Linked DNA regions of Xenopus tropicalis. The protein of the gene in region 3 binds, or shares a complex with, the protein of the main gene of each other region. Links are inferred from orthologs where the notes say so. Each region holds a gene or a part of one and is shown on either strand. Other genes may lie near its edges.

Evidence for each region.
Region 1: stub1 (region 3) and hspb8 share a complex: the UniProt entries of both Homo sapiens proteins name them as parts of the chaperone-assisted selective autophagy (CASA) complex. The link is inferred for Xenopus tropicalis from reciprocal best matches to the Homo sapiens genes STUB1 and HSPB8.
Region 2: the proteins of stub1 (region 3) and chic2 are in contact, whole or in part, in a crystal structure (PDB 8SUV), measured with the Homo sapiens proteins. The link is inferred for Xenopus tropicalis from reciprocal best matches to the Homo sapiens genes STUB1 and CHIC2. Residues at the interface, in NP_005852.2 of Homo sapiens: Lys30, Asn34, Phe37, Tyr49, Val61, Asn65, Leu68, Leu71, Val94, Lys95, Phe98, Phe99, Gln102, Arg128, Asn130, Phe131, Gly132, Asp134, Ile135; in NP_036242.1 of Homo sapiens: Leu156, Pro157, Lys158, Thr159, Pro160, Ile161, Phe162, Arg163, Pro164, Asp165.

The regions. Positions count from the first base shown.
Region 1 is NC_030677.2:165,806,161-165,810,531, forward strand, and holds the start of hspb8 (heat shock protein beta-8), read left to right. Parts: upstream 1-1,511; 5' UTR 1,512-1,754; coding exon 1,755-2,139; intron 2,140-4,371. UniProt on the Homo sapiens protein: Involved in the chaperone-assisted selective autophagy (CASA), a crucial process for protein quality control, particularly in mechanical strained cells and tissues such as muscle. Displays temperature-dependent chaperone activity.
Region 2 is NC_030677.2:39,930,533-39,934,165, reverse strand, and holds part of chic2 (cysteine-rich hydrophobic domain-containing protein 2), read left to right. Parts: intron 1-1,562; coding exon 1,563-1,617; intron 1,618-1,705; coding exon 1,706-1,861; intron 1,862-3,633.
Region 3 is NC_030685.2:14,818,683-14,823,076, forward strand, and holds the start of stub1 (E3 ubiquitin-protein ligase CHIP), read left to right. Parts: upstream 1-1,552; 5' UTR 1,553-1,811; coding exon 1,812-1,988; intron 1,989-3,016; coding exon 3,017-3,215; intron 3,216-4,394. Other genes in the region: linc02867 (uncharacterized protein LOC100145131), read right to left, coding at 381-383. UniProt on the Homo sapiens protein: E3 ubiquitin-protein ligase which targets misfolded chaperone substrates towards proteasomal degradation.

The DNA.
Region 1 (4,371 bases), on a different chromosome or scaffold from region 3:
TGGCACCAAGTCAACTACCTGGTTTGGGGGCACTGAGAGCAACATCCAAGGGGTTGGTGAGTGACAGGTTGCCCCTGAGCCACTGGTTGGGGATCACTGCTCTACATGATACAATGGCGTTCTTGACATATGAATGCTCCCTATTTTGTGGCAAAAGATTGAGGATGACCTTTCCTGTTTCAGCCTTATAATTACCCTATGCATAATATGAGGTCCATACAGAATTGGTATGAATTGGCTAAAATGGGAGAGGAAGAACTTGAATGGTCTGCAGCAAGCCCTGACATCAATCCAACTTAACATATGTGGCAAGAATTGGAATGTTGACTGTAAGCCAGGCCTTATCCCTAACATCAGTGCAAAGTACATATGAATGGAAGTAAATCCTATCCAAAACCAGGGCACCCAAGGTACTCTGCCTAGAGCAGCAGCAGCTTTTGGGGGCGTCCCTTGGATGTCTATATCATAGATTTATTTAAATAAAAAAACTCACCTGCCACCGGAGAGTTCCTGCATAAAACCAGTGATGGAGCTAGGGGGGGTGAGAGGTACATGATGCGGAAATGACATCCCGTGTAGGCTGCACGTGGCATCACTTCCGCAAACTGGGGGCTCATTTAGGTCTGGTGTCTAGGGTGGCACTGGACCTAAATACAGCATTGCCAAGTAGCTACTAGTAGATCCCCCAACTAGAATCAAATTAAAAACTTCCCAGTACAGCAGAGGGTTAAGGATGTTCTAGCAGCAAAGAGAAGAAAATTTTAATTAAATACATTTCAATAAGATGGTGTATATAAAGTGCCAAAATACTGCTTTGCAGCCTGCATTGGTCTGTATCTCAAAATCCTATTCATGCAAAGGGTGCTCTAGAAATAGAATGGAAAAGAATGTCAATTTTCCAAAATTGCCTAAGGGTTTACTTGCCCTTTAAAGGGGAAAACTAAATATATGCCAAGCATGCATCAAAATAAGGCTTGTACTGCAAATTAAAAGTTAAGTATGGGTTATTTAACCCATACAGAAAGGTACCAGTTAAAGGTAAAATGAAGTCTATATATAATATAATTTGTACAGTACAAAATATGCAGAATGAATAAGGCATTAGAAACAACTTAATGGAATTTATCCAATGGAGGGGGTGACCTTGTTTTATAAGAGTTTAATTTAATAACAAGTATAAAATGACACAGCCTGTGGTTTTCTCTAAATACAAATGTCGACGCGATGGGGGGATGGAAGACGCGAGAGGAATCAAGGAGGGGTCAGCAGGAGAAGGCAGTCTAAAATTGGATACCCTTAGTAATAGGTCCAGTCTCTTCTGGGAGTCATCAGCTGTTACAAAAGCAGATTCTTGTAGGGTGTTTCATAAGCTTCAAATACCCAGCTGACAAGCTACAGGCAGCAAGCATTAACAGGCAGATATAAATAGGAGCCAGTGACTGCAGCACAGAAGTTTACAGAACTTTCTCGACTGATGGCACCAGTGTTTAATAGACTTACTGGCAGCCACACGAGTCAAAGGATCAAGGCACCTCTCTTCTTTTCAATGAGTCTGCTCAGATCCAGAAAGATTTTAGATTGCTTTTAACTGATTTAATTCCACAGCTACTCTTTTTTTCTGGTTATTTTTTATTTTTTTTTGCTATTAAAGCATTCGCCAAGAGGCTGCACTGCCTGAAGATTATTCTGCCTGTACGGAAATTACAATAACCATAATCAGGTTGACATTTTCCAGTCACAGCTAAAGAAAAATAATGGCTGACAGTCAGTTACCCTTCACCTGCCATTACCCATCTAACAGACACAGGGGAAGCCGTGATCCTTTTCGAGAACAAGGACTGTCATCTCGCCTTCTTGATGAAGATTTTGGCATTCCACCTTTTTCAGATGATTTAACCATGGACTGGCCAGATTGGGCAAGGCCCAGACTGACTTCTGCCTGGTCGGGCCCTTTAAGATCAGGCTTGGTGAGATCAGGGATGCCCCCACCCGTATATAATTCCAGATACACGGGTTATCCTGACGCTCGTAACACTGTAGCAAATATCAGCCAGCCATGGAAGGTCTGCGTAAATGTGCAAACTTTCAAGCCAGAGGAGCTGACAGTTAAAACGAAGGATGGCTTTGTAGAAGTTTCAGGTTAGTAACAATATATACATATACACATGTTCTTTGCTTCACTGATCATTTAGTTAGGCTTATCTGGGGTTTATTTACAAATGTAAGTATAGGATGCAAAGATTTTTACCCACAATGCAGCATTTCCCACCACAAATGTTGCATAATTGTGGCAGTGAAAGAGTCAGTATTGGCACTTAGCATAAAAAAGATGTATGTATATGATTCTTTAGGAGTTTAGCAAGTCTACTGCACCTATTAACACAGCCTGTAGTGGGGACCATGGAATTAATGCCACTTTCCGGGTGGCAGTAGCACACTTGAACCTATTAAGCAATTAGGAACAGAAGGTGGGCACTGATGCACTCGTGCCAATGCGCAACTATAGGGTTTTGTGTGCTAAAAGCTTAATCGTCTGACAAAAAGACTTCAGAGTTAATTTATTACTACTGGCATAAGCTTTGACCTATCATTTAATCCATGCATTACAGAATAGAAAAAAGGAAATAATAGAATTACTAATAAGAACATCTAGGCATAGCAAGCAGATAATAATCTGCATATACTGATAATATTTGCCTCAGAACAGCAAAGCAACTAACTAATTTGGGGGTTGTGTATGGGCAATGCTCCAGAAGTCCCAGATTGCTAGGGATTTTAGGGAACTGTAGTTCACCTACAGATAGAGGCCTGTCTCGGACATAATTTAAAGGGATTCTGTCATGATTTTTACAGTGTAGTTTTTATTTCTAAATTACACTGTTTACATAGCAAATAATTCACTCTACCATTTAAAATTTTATTCTTGAACCAACAAAGGTGTTTTTTAGTTCTACTATTGGTGTGTAGGCGCCATGTGCCTGAGTCTGAGCTTTCAGAAGGAGCCAGCGCTACACATTGGAACTGCTTTCAGGCAACCTATTGTTTCTCCTACTCCCATGTAACTGGAGGAGTCCCAAGCCTGACTTGGATTTCTTACTATTGAGTGCTATTCTGATATCCACTGGGAGCTGCCATCTTGCTGCCTTCCATTGTTCTGCTGATCGGCTGCTGGGAGGGAGGGATATCACTCCAACTTGCAGCTCAGCAGTAAAGTGTGACTGAAGTTTATCAGAGCACAGGTCACGTGGCTGTGGCACCCTGAGAAATGAAGAATATGGCTAGCCCCATTTCAAATTTTAAAATTAAATATAAAAAATCTGTCTGAAAAACAGATGCAGATGCAGATTGCAGATTCTGCTGGAGAAGCTCTATTAACTGATGTGTTTTAAAAATGTTTTCCTATGACAGTATTCCTTTAATGATAAAGAAAAGTTTTTTGTCAGGGGGCTAACATTATCAAGTACACTAAAAGTGCACTACTTCGTTGGTGGATTATTAGCACTGGACAGTACTGAAACTGGTGGCAATCGATGGTGACTTTGCAATATCTTTACCCCAGCCTAGCAGTGTGCAGAATGTTACACTGGGGGTTAAAGCCAATATGGCTTCAGGCTAGTGGATTTATGTGTTCCAAGTGTGTGACATATGTCTTGTCAAGTCTTCATCACACACATCTTAAACTCACTCATATCCTTATACAGAATGCAATGTGGTTACAGCAAAGCATGCACAAAACACTATTTACTAGATCATGCTAGCACAGTAGTTCTCAAACTGTCAGGCTGTCTCTGTGAGGCAGTTGATGAGGGGGGCACTTGAAGGTCAATAAGGATAAAATGTGGGGTAAATGTACCTGTGATGTATATCTCTCTGCCTACAGTAAGGGGACTGTTTCTGCTAAGGCAGATATTCACAATTTGCGGGCCATGGAAATAAGACAGCATGCAGAAATAGGGCGGCACCAGTACCTGAAACAATGACCTGTTCCCTGTGTCTACACTTGTACTTTTCATTCCTTCAGGCTCAGTGCATCAACTGGGCCACATGGTGATTGGTCAATTTGACAAGAGGTTTAAAGTTGAACTTCCTGTCATCTTTCTGTTGCTATAGCAAAAAAGGAAAGGCCCTTTGGGAGATGGGCAGAGAAGGAGAGCAGAAGACTTAAAGAAAGAAGAGAAGGAAATAACAAAAAAGGCTAGGGAATAAATAGTTACATAGTTAAGTTGGGTTGAAAAAAGACCAAAGTTCATCAAATTAGCCCTTCCAACTGAACCCTAGACAATGTGAAAGGAAGCGAGACTGGGATATACAGTAAGAGGTACTTTGAAAAACAAAGAGGTAATACTATATTGAATTAAACCAAACAGAACA
Region 2 (3,633 bases), on a different chromosome or scaffold from region 3:
AAGTTGGAGTGATATAACCCCCTCCCAGCAGCCGATCAGCAGAACAATGGGAAGGGAGCAAGATAGCAGCTTCCTGACACCTGTATTGCTTAAAGTGGTAGATATCAGAATAGCACTCAATAGTTGTGGATAACCTTGAAGGCATACAATATAACTGTTATAGGGCTGCTAAACCTTTGGGTTGGTCCAGTAAGTTCATTATATATATATATATATATATATATATATATATTATTTCTAGCCATAAATTTTTTTTTTTTTTTTTACTTTAACGAAAACTTGTGCATAGATTATTTTTATGCTAAAAGCACTGATGGCATTTTAATGCTGCATACTTTCTTGGGAAGATCATCTCATAGGCGCCATTATCTCAATTGTCTATAATGAGGAGGTATTTCAAATTATTTCTCGCATTCTTTCAACTTGTTCTTCCCAAGAGTACATACAGGTGGCAACCAAATGGCAGACGTGCTGTTAGACTTAATGTATCAAACATATCTTAGATGACAAAAAAAGACTCTCATCCAAACATTAGTGTACATCCTTGTAATACATTTCTATTTTTGCTGCAGTGCAAGTACAGGTATGGGACCTGTTATCCAGAATACTCAGGACCTGGGGTTTCCGGATAAGGGGTCTTTTCATACCTTGGATCTCCATATCTTAAGTCTACTAAAAATAATTTAAGCTTTAAATAAACCCAATAGGATTGTTTTCCCTCCAATAAGGATTAATTATATCTTAGTTGGGATCAAGTACAAGGTACTGTTTTATTATTAAAGAGAAAAAAGAAATCATTTTTAAAAATTAGAATTATTTGCTTATAATGGAGTCTATGGGAAATGGCCTTTCTATAATAAGGAACTTTCTGGATAACGGGTTTCTGGATAACTGATCCCATACCTGTACTTTATTGATCAGAATATAGTTTCTAGACATACCATATTCCTGTAGTGCAGAGGTTGTTGGGCGTATTTGGCCAGGCCCTCCTATTAATATAACTGACCGCTAAGCTGTACTTCCAGGCATACCCAAATCTGTTGCTAACTGGCTTTCAGGCTGGCCCCACTAAGCACACTTTGACCACCAAAGGAAGGCAGCACCACAGTTTGGGAAAAGTTGTCAGAGTAGTTAAGCTTACCAACTCCCCTTTTTTTAAAAAGTCTTCTATCTGCTATGTGTCACATGGATCTAATCAATATGTTGTCTGCCGGTGGGATGGCATTTCGGGGAAATTTGTTGCGGGCGACTAATCTCCCTGCGTGCCAGAGCCCTTATGCCAAGTTGAGGTAGCCTGAATATCCAGAAAATAACCACCCTGTTCACTTTGGTTTGCAAAAATGAAATGGTATAAAATATTGGTCGAAAACTGTAATGACCCTACCCCTTAACATATAACAAAAATGATGGTTAACCAGTTAAACACTGATGACGAAGTAATGATCTTAATCATGAAATCAGATTTCAGTATTTACATTTTGGCCACAATTAAAATGTTTACATTTTAATGTATTAGTTGAAGTACAGCAGTATGATCTCTAATGATTTTCTTTTTTCTTTAGTTTTGGTCTTAGCAACAAGTTTGAAGCAGAATTCCCTTCTTCCTTAACTGGCAAGGTATGTGTCAAAAACAAAGTTTAAAGACAAACAATTTGCTTTCTTTAATACTGTTCTCATACTTAGTAACATTTTCCCCCCTTTCCAGGTAGCACCTGAAGAATTTAAATCTAGTATTAACAGAGTCAACAGTTGTCTTAAGAAGAATCTTCCAATTAATGTCCGCTGGTTACTTTGTGGATGCCTTTGCTGTTGCTGTACATTGGGCTGCAGTATGTGGCCAGTTGTTTGTCTAAGTAAAAGAGTAAGTTGACCAATTCTTGGCTTCTTGATTTTGTCTTACAGCTTAATCATGTAATGTGCTACTGTGTTCTTATTAATAATTCTCTTATTCCACAAGGCTTTGTTGTAATATGCTTTTAAAGAGGGCATATTTCTCTTCATACCTATCTTCAATGTATTTTCTTTCATACCCAAAATTTGCTTATAGCTGATGTACTTTCCTTTTCTTTATATTTGTTATTACAATCTCATACTCCTAGCTTGTGGTGCCACTGAGAGGCAGTGCATATTACCCCTAATTACAATTAGTAAATGGGTTAAATAGCTTTTAGTTAAAAGGTGTTACATTTCTGCAGAGATGATTCCTGTAATGAGGTTGGGAAAAAAGGTTACGAACCATTGTGCACATCTTATTTTGAATTTTACTAGAGCTAACACCATTTGGGTCTTTGTAGAAGTATACATTTTGCTTATTTATAATTTCAAGAGAATTAACTTATATGCAATATGGCTCATATGAAGATTTCCACTAGGTATATAGAGTTCTGGCAGCCTTACTTAATTAGCTTTCCACTAATGTGTTATTCACTTTCTGTAACACTTAAAACGTGTTCTCTTAGGGGACAATGGATGCTGCATGTTTGGGCAGGTAAAATGTATGGTGGACAAAACACTCCATATCTCTTATGTATAAATGGCTGTTCCTTTTACATGTGGGTCTAAGCAATTGCCATTTAAATAAATAAGGAAGCATTTCCAGATGATTTATTGTCTGCCCCCAGGCTATTAAACACTTGTGCAACAATATGTGGTGGAATGCAGGGGAACACAGGGCAAAATGCCCATGTGTAAGGGCCCTTAAGGGAGGCCTTAACTCTTTACAAAGCTTTCCCATGTGGCTGGTAATCTCTAAGGTAGATGGTTTAAAACATAATTACAGATTCAAGGAAGTTCACGTATGAGAATACTGCTTATAAGAACTGTCAGCCACCTTGCTGTTATGTTAAACCAGAAATTTATGTTAAACTTAACTTTTATTATCTTATAATCAAGAGTAAATGGGAACTATTAGAAACTCAGAAGCCCATATTGTGCTGTATAATTAGATTTTTAGCATTTTTTTTTGTAAAGTAAAAGTAAGATACACACACATTTGTCTTAACAGTTTGACCTCCCAGTAAATACCATTTTTTTTTCTTCACCTATAAAGACTTTTTGTTATACTTCCCCTTTAACATTTTAAGTGCAACCAAAGAGCCACCCAGAAATGTAGAATTTGTTGCAGGAAGTCTGATACTAATAAGTGGGCATCATGGATTCTACATTTCCAGGTGCCTAATCAACATATTGGTTTCATGGCAGCGGGTGTAATAAATCAAACATCCCACCATATCACCATGAGGGATAAGCAACTTCGTATTTGGCTTCTTTTTTGTAATTTCTTATGTTTTGAATTATTTGCCCTTCAGCTCATTGCCCCTTTAATCTGGAATTTTAAATGCTGTTTTCCGAGGTCAGTGGCCCTAGCTTAGCATTCAGTATAAAGCTTAATATTTGTCTTTTTATTATGGTTTTTTTCATATAATTTCTTAGAAAATTCCATACTGTTGAGTAGCACTACTGCTAAGGGCATTGAATTGGTCTGTGCTAAAAGTTAATTTTAAGTTTCCCTTTGCCTACTTGACGTACAGTTTCACATAAGGAAAGCCGGGAACTATTTTTGCCTTTGAGTTAGGAAAGCATTTGCTTTGCATGTGATAATGATAATCACTTCAGATGAAATATGTATAACCA
Region 3 (4,394 bases):
AAGCTCTTTCATTTTTTTGGTGTTACTGTTCCTTTAATTAACAACACTGAAAGACCTAGAAATGATCTTCAGTTCTGCTGATCTTCGTAACGGAAAGAAACAAAAGGATCTGACCAATCAAGCCTGACCTCTCACATTATGGGAAGAACAAAGTAATTAGAAAAAGTTTAAGGGCTCTGGCACACGAGGAGATTTGTCGCCGGCGATTTTTAAAAGAGCGATTTGGCGACAAGACGCCAATGCTAAACCAATGGAAATCGCCAGCGTCAAAACATACGAGGCTACTTCAAGTCGCCTGCTGTTTCAAATCGCGCACAGACCCTTTTCTGAGCGACTTGAGTAAACATGTGGGGGGGGGGGGGGGTAACTGTTGAGTGTACCATGGGTAGCAGATCGCCTGGAGCTCAACTCGCATGAAATCTCTTCGTGGGTATTGTCGTGGCGACTTGCCGCCAAAGCGCCTGGTGGAAAAAACGCAGGCAACAAATCTCCTCGTGTGCCAGAGCCCTAAAAGGGAAAGAGGAAAAGGATGGAGGGATTTAGTAACAAAAACAACAAAGCCACAGACAAGCTTTGAGACCCAAAGAAAAAAAATCAAATAAAGAAGAAAAACAACACATATGGTCAAAATTGACGATTATAAGTATAGGGATAAACAGATTATCTATGGTACTGGCAGCACTTGTGTCACCTCTTACTGCAGCTTCAGCCTGTACAGCAGCAACGCCCCTAAAAATGACACAACTGCATTACAAATATGTTGCCAACCTCCAATAAATGGCTATTAGCTGTGGGGAAGCGATGGCAGTGGCACAAACAGCAGAATCTCACTCCTGCCCAACACTCATAGAGAAACCGCGGCCATACTAAACCCGAGTGGGCGGGGCTTAACAACTCAAGCCTCTCTATGGGCGCGGCTTTTCATTTCACTATAGCTTCCTGGATTTGCGTTCCAAGCCTCGGTGTGACGGAATCCGTCCTACGATAGCTCTGTGCGGAAGAACCCCGCAAGTCACTGTTGAAGACAGACCGGAAGTTCCGGCTGGTGGAGGCAGCAGCTGTCTGTGTTTAGGGGTTTGGGCTGGAGCTGTGTCAGTGTAGCGGTCTGCGAACTGGGCTTGAAGACACAGAAAGGGGCGGCCTGTTGTGGGGGGGACACAGGGCTGCCTTTGGGGGATGTGTATGGGCAGTTGGGCGGGTACATAGGGGCAGGGCTGAGTTATGTTATGAAGAGCTGCCAGAGGGTATATAGTGGGGCCTGTTCTTGTGGGTGGGTTATAGGGCCCTATGAGGTTAACCTGTAAGGTTTAGGGAGGATATAAGGGCTATTATTAATTCTGTGTATAGTACTGTAAGTATTACATCTGTGGGTGCTAGAGGGATTATAGGGACCTTAATTAATTTGTATGTATACTACTGTAACTTGAGAATAAGCTGTGAGTGCTTGTGGGGTTCAGTTGGCGGTTATATTTATACAGAGACCCTGGTCAGGTTTGATAGGATTCATTACGTTATAAGGGGGGGGGTCTCTTGTTGGCTGTTTACGTGGGACACTAAAGTAGCGCCATCATTAGAAAACCTTGATTACTTTGAATGGTTACATTAAGAGCCAAGTGTAACAACAGGCGAAACTAGATATTTAGGGATCATAGTCTCTTTTTGTTTTGATCTTGGGGGAGGCCCCCAACTTTTTCTTTTTTTAGATATCATTTTTGGGTCCCCTTGATCAAGGGGTCCCCGCGCCATCTGTGAAATTGGGGGTGGCACCAAGCATCCCGAGGATTGGAGGGGTGACTGCGGGAGGCCCTGGGATGAAAGGGAAGGAGGAGGGAGGCGGAGGACGCCCCTCGGGGGTTAGTGGGGGTTCTGGCGGCACCGGAGGTAGCCCTGAGAAGAGTGTCAGCGCCCAAGAGCTGAAAGAACAAGGCAACAGACTGTTTGTGGCCCGGAAATACCAAGAGGCTGTGTCCTGTTATAGCAAGGCCATTGTAAGTATCACATCTCTAACCAATGTGTATATGGTATATTTGTATATAATGATGCCAGGGCACATATTTCATTCCTTGCATAGAACAGTGCTGGCCAGTGTTTCCCAGCCTGATATTAAACTAATACAAAGAAGTCTATGAATGTCTTTGGGCAATCCTAGGGCCTTCACTTGCACAGTATTGGTTTAGAATATACCAAGTGCTTTCAGATTTAGGGCAAGTGGTTAGGGGTTTCCCCAAAGACTTATAGGGTTAAATAGTAGACATTGAGTGCTAAGGTGCATCAAGTCTGCTCCTCACCCAACAGGTCTATGTAGGCTCGTGTTATGACCTGTTTATTGGCCCAGTGGCCAGAAGAATAGATCAACCCTATTTGGCCCAGCATAAGGGCGACCAAACAAGCAGGTATATGAGTGTGCAGCCCACTTTAGTTGCCGTTGTCTCTTAAAACCTTATTCAACAACAGTGCTGCCCCGGAGTGTTACTAAGCTGCAACTCCAACAAAGTGTGAATCCTGACTGTTCTGTATACGCCCATCCTGTTCCTGTTCCTTTTTTTCCTGTAATACTTCCTAATACTTCACCTTCCTGATATTTTATTAAAGTGAGCTATTAGCAAGCCCATATTACTCAGTGCTCTCTCTATGTTAGAGCACAACAAGATGGCTGACATCATGCTGGTAGGGGGGGGATTATCATTGGAACATTCTTTTGCATATTTATTTTTTTGGGCAACCTCCTTTGCAGAATCGGAGCCATATATGGGAGGGTTATTGGACCGCCTATAAGTGATTGTAGTGCAGTCTTCCAAAGCAACCAGTCTGCAATTATTTCTACAAGATAGAAAACAAAAGCAAAGATCTGACTGTTAGCTATGGATGAATGCAGTTTACAGTTTCATGGGTGGGTGTTAATGTAGCAACTGGTCACACACAGTAGAAATTGTATAAGAAAATGGATCACAACCAGTGCTTCTTATTCTCTATATATTGTTAATGGTGAGCTTTTCCTCTCTGGCCCTCTCTGTAGACCCGAAACTCCTCCATTGCCGTGTATTACACTAACCGGGCGCTATGCTACCTGAAGATGCAGCAGCTGGACAAGGCCCTGGCAGACTGCAAACATGCCTTAGAGTTGGACTGCCAGTCAGTGAAGGCCCACTTCTTCCTGGGGCAGTGCCAGATGGAACTAGAGAACTATGATGAAGCCATTGCCAATCTACAGAGAGGTAAGCCACTGGGCCGCGCTTATTAAGGGGGCCACACACAGGCTGCTGATTGTCCTTTAGACTGATTAGTCAGCTTAACTGCCCCTGAATGGGGCCCCCCCAACGGGCCTCCCTGACTGGCTGAAAACCGGCCATGTGTCAATTGGGCAGGTTTGAGTCTCACGTCGGATCGATGACACATCGGCTCATTGATGTTGTCCTTGGCCCCACGGCTCCTATAACCCATTAAACAAACCACCCCAGGGTACTTTCCTGTAGCACACAGGGCTGCCATCTCTTTCTTTGCTCCCAGGTACCCGTCATGCTGCCCTGAGCAGATACCTGTGAAGTACAAAACTTCTTTAGCAATTGTGTCCACTTACGATTGGCTGGGACCTGGGGAAAAAAAGATGGCGGCACCAAGCTGCGCATATGCAGCATTTTTTTAAAGAAGGGAAAAGCCGGACCAGGATAATAGGTCATGGATTTTATTGTAACAGATTGGTGCCACCCCCTACCAATGATTTTTACTTTGCGTTCACCTTTATCCAATAGAATAAAACGCAGCATATGCCCTAAAAATGGCTTAGGGCTCTGGCACACGGGGAGATTAGTCGCCCGCGGCAAATCTCCCTTGTCACGGGCGACTAATCTCCCCGAACTACCATCCCACCGGCAAAAATGTAAGTCGCCGGTGGGATGGCACACGCTGCGCAGACGATTTCGGCAAATCGCCGAAGTTGCCTCGCGAGGCATTTTCGGCGATTTGCCGAAATCGCCTGCGCAGCGTGTGCCATCCCACCGACGACTTACATTTTCACCGATGGGATGGCAATCCGGGGAGATTAGTCGCCCGCGAACAGGGAGATTTGTCGCGGGCGACTAATCTCCCCGTGTGCCAGAGCCCTTATAGTGCCTGTGCTATTTGTGGAGCAGAACTCCTGATATCTGTTTAATTGCAGAAGAGCTTACGCAGCAACAAATGATATTTGTTTGTTTACCCCGGCGGACTTAGTGCTGCCTGACAGCAAGAGTATATTTAGGTCATGAACCAGCTTGAAAAACAGGAACACCGAGGCCGGGCACACAGGTTTAGCAAGGCGTTAGCTCTTGGACACACTCTGACTTCCAGAAGCTTTAGATTCCCTTGAAGGTGACACGTGCGGGAAGCCCCAGATAGCGAGGCAGATTGTTGTACTC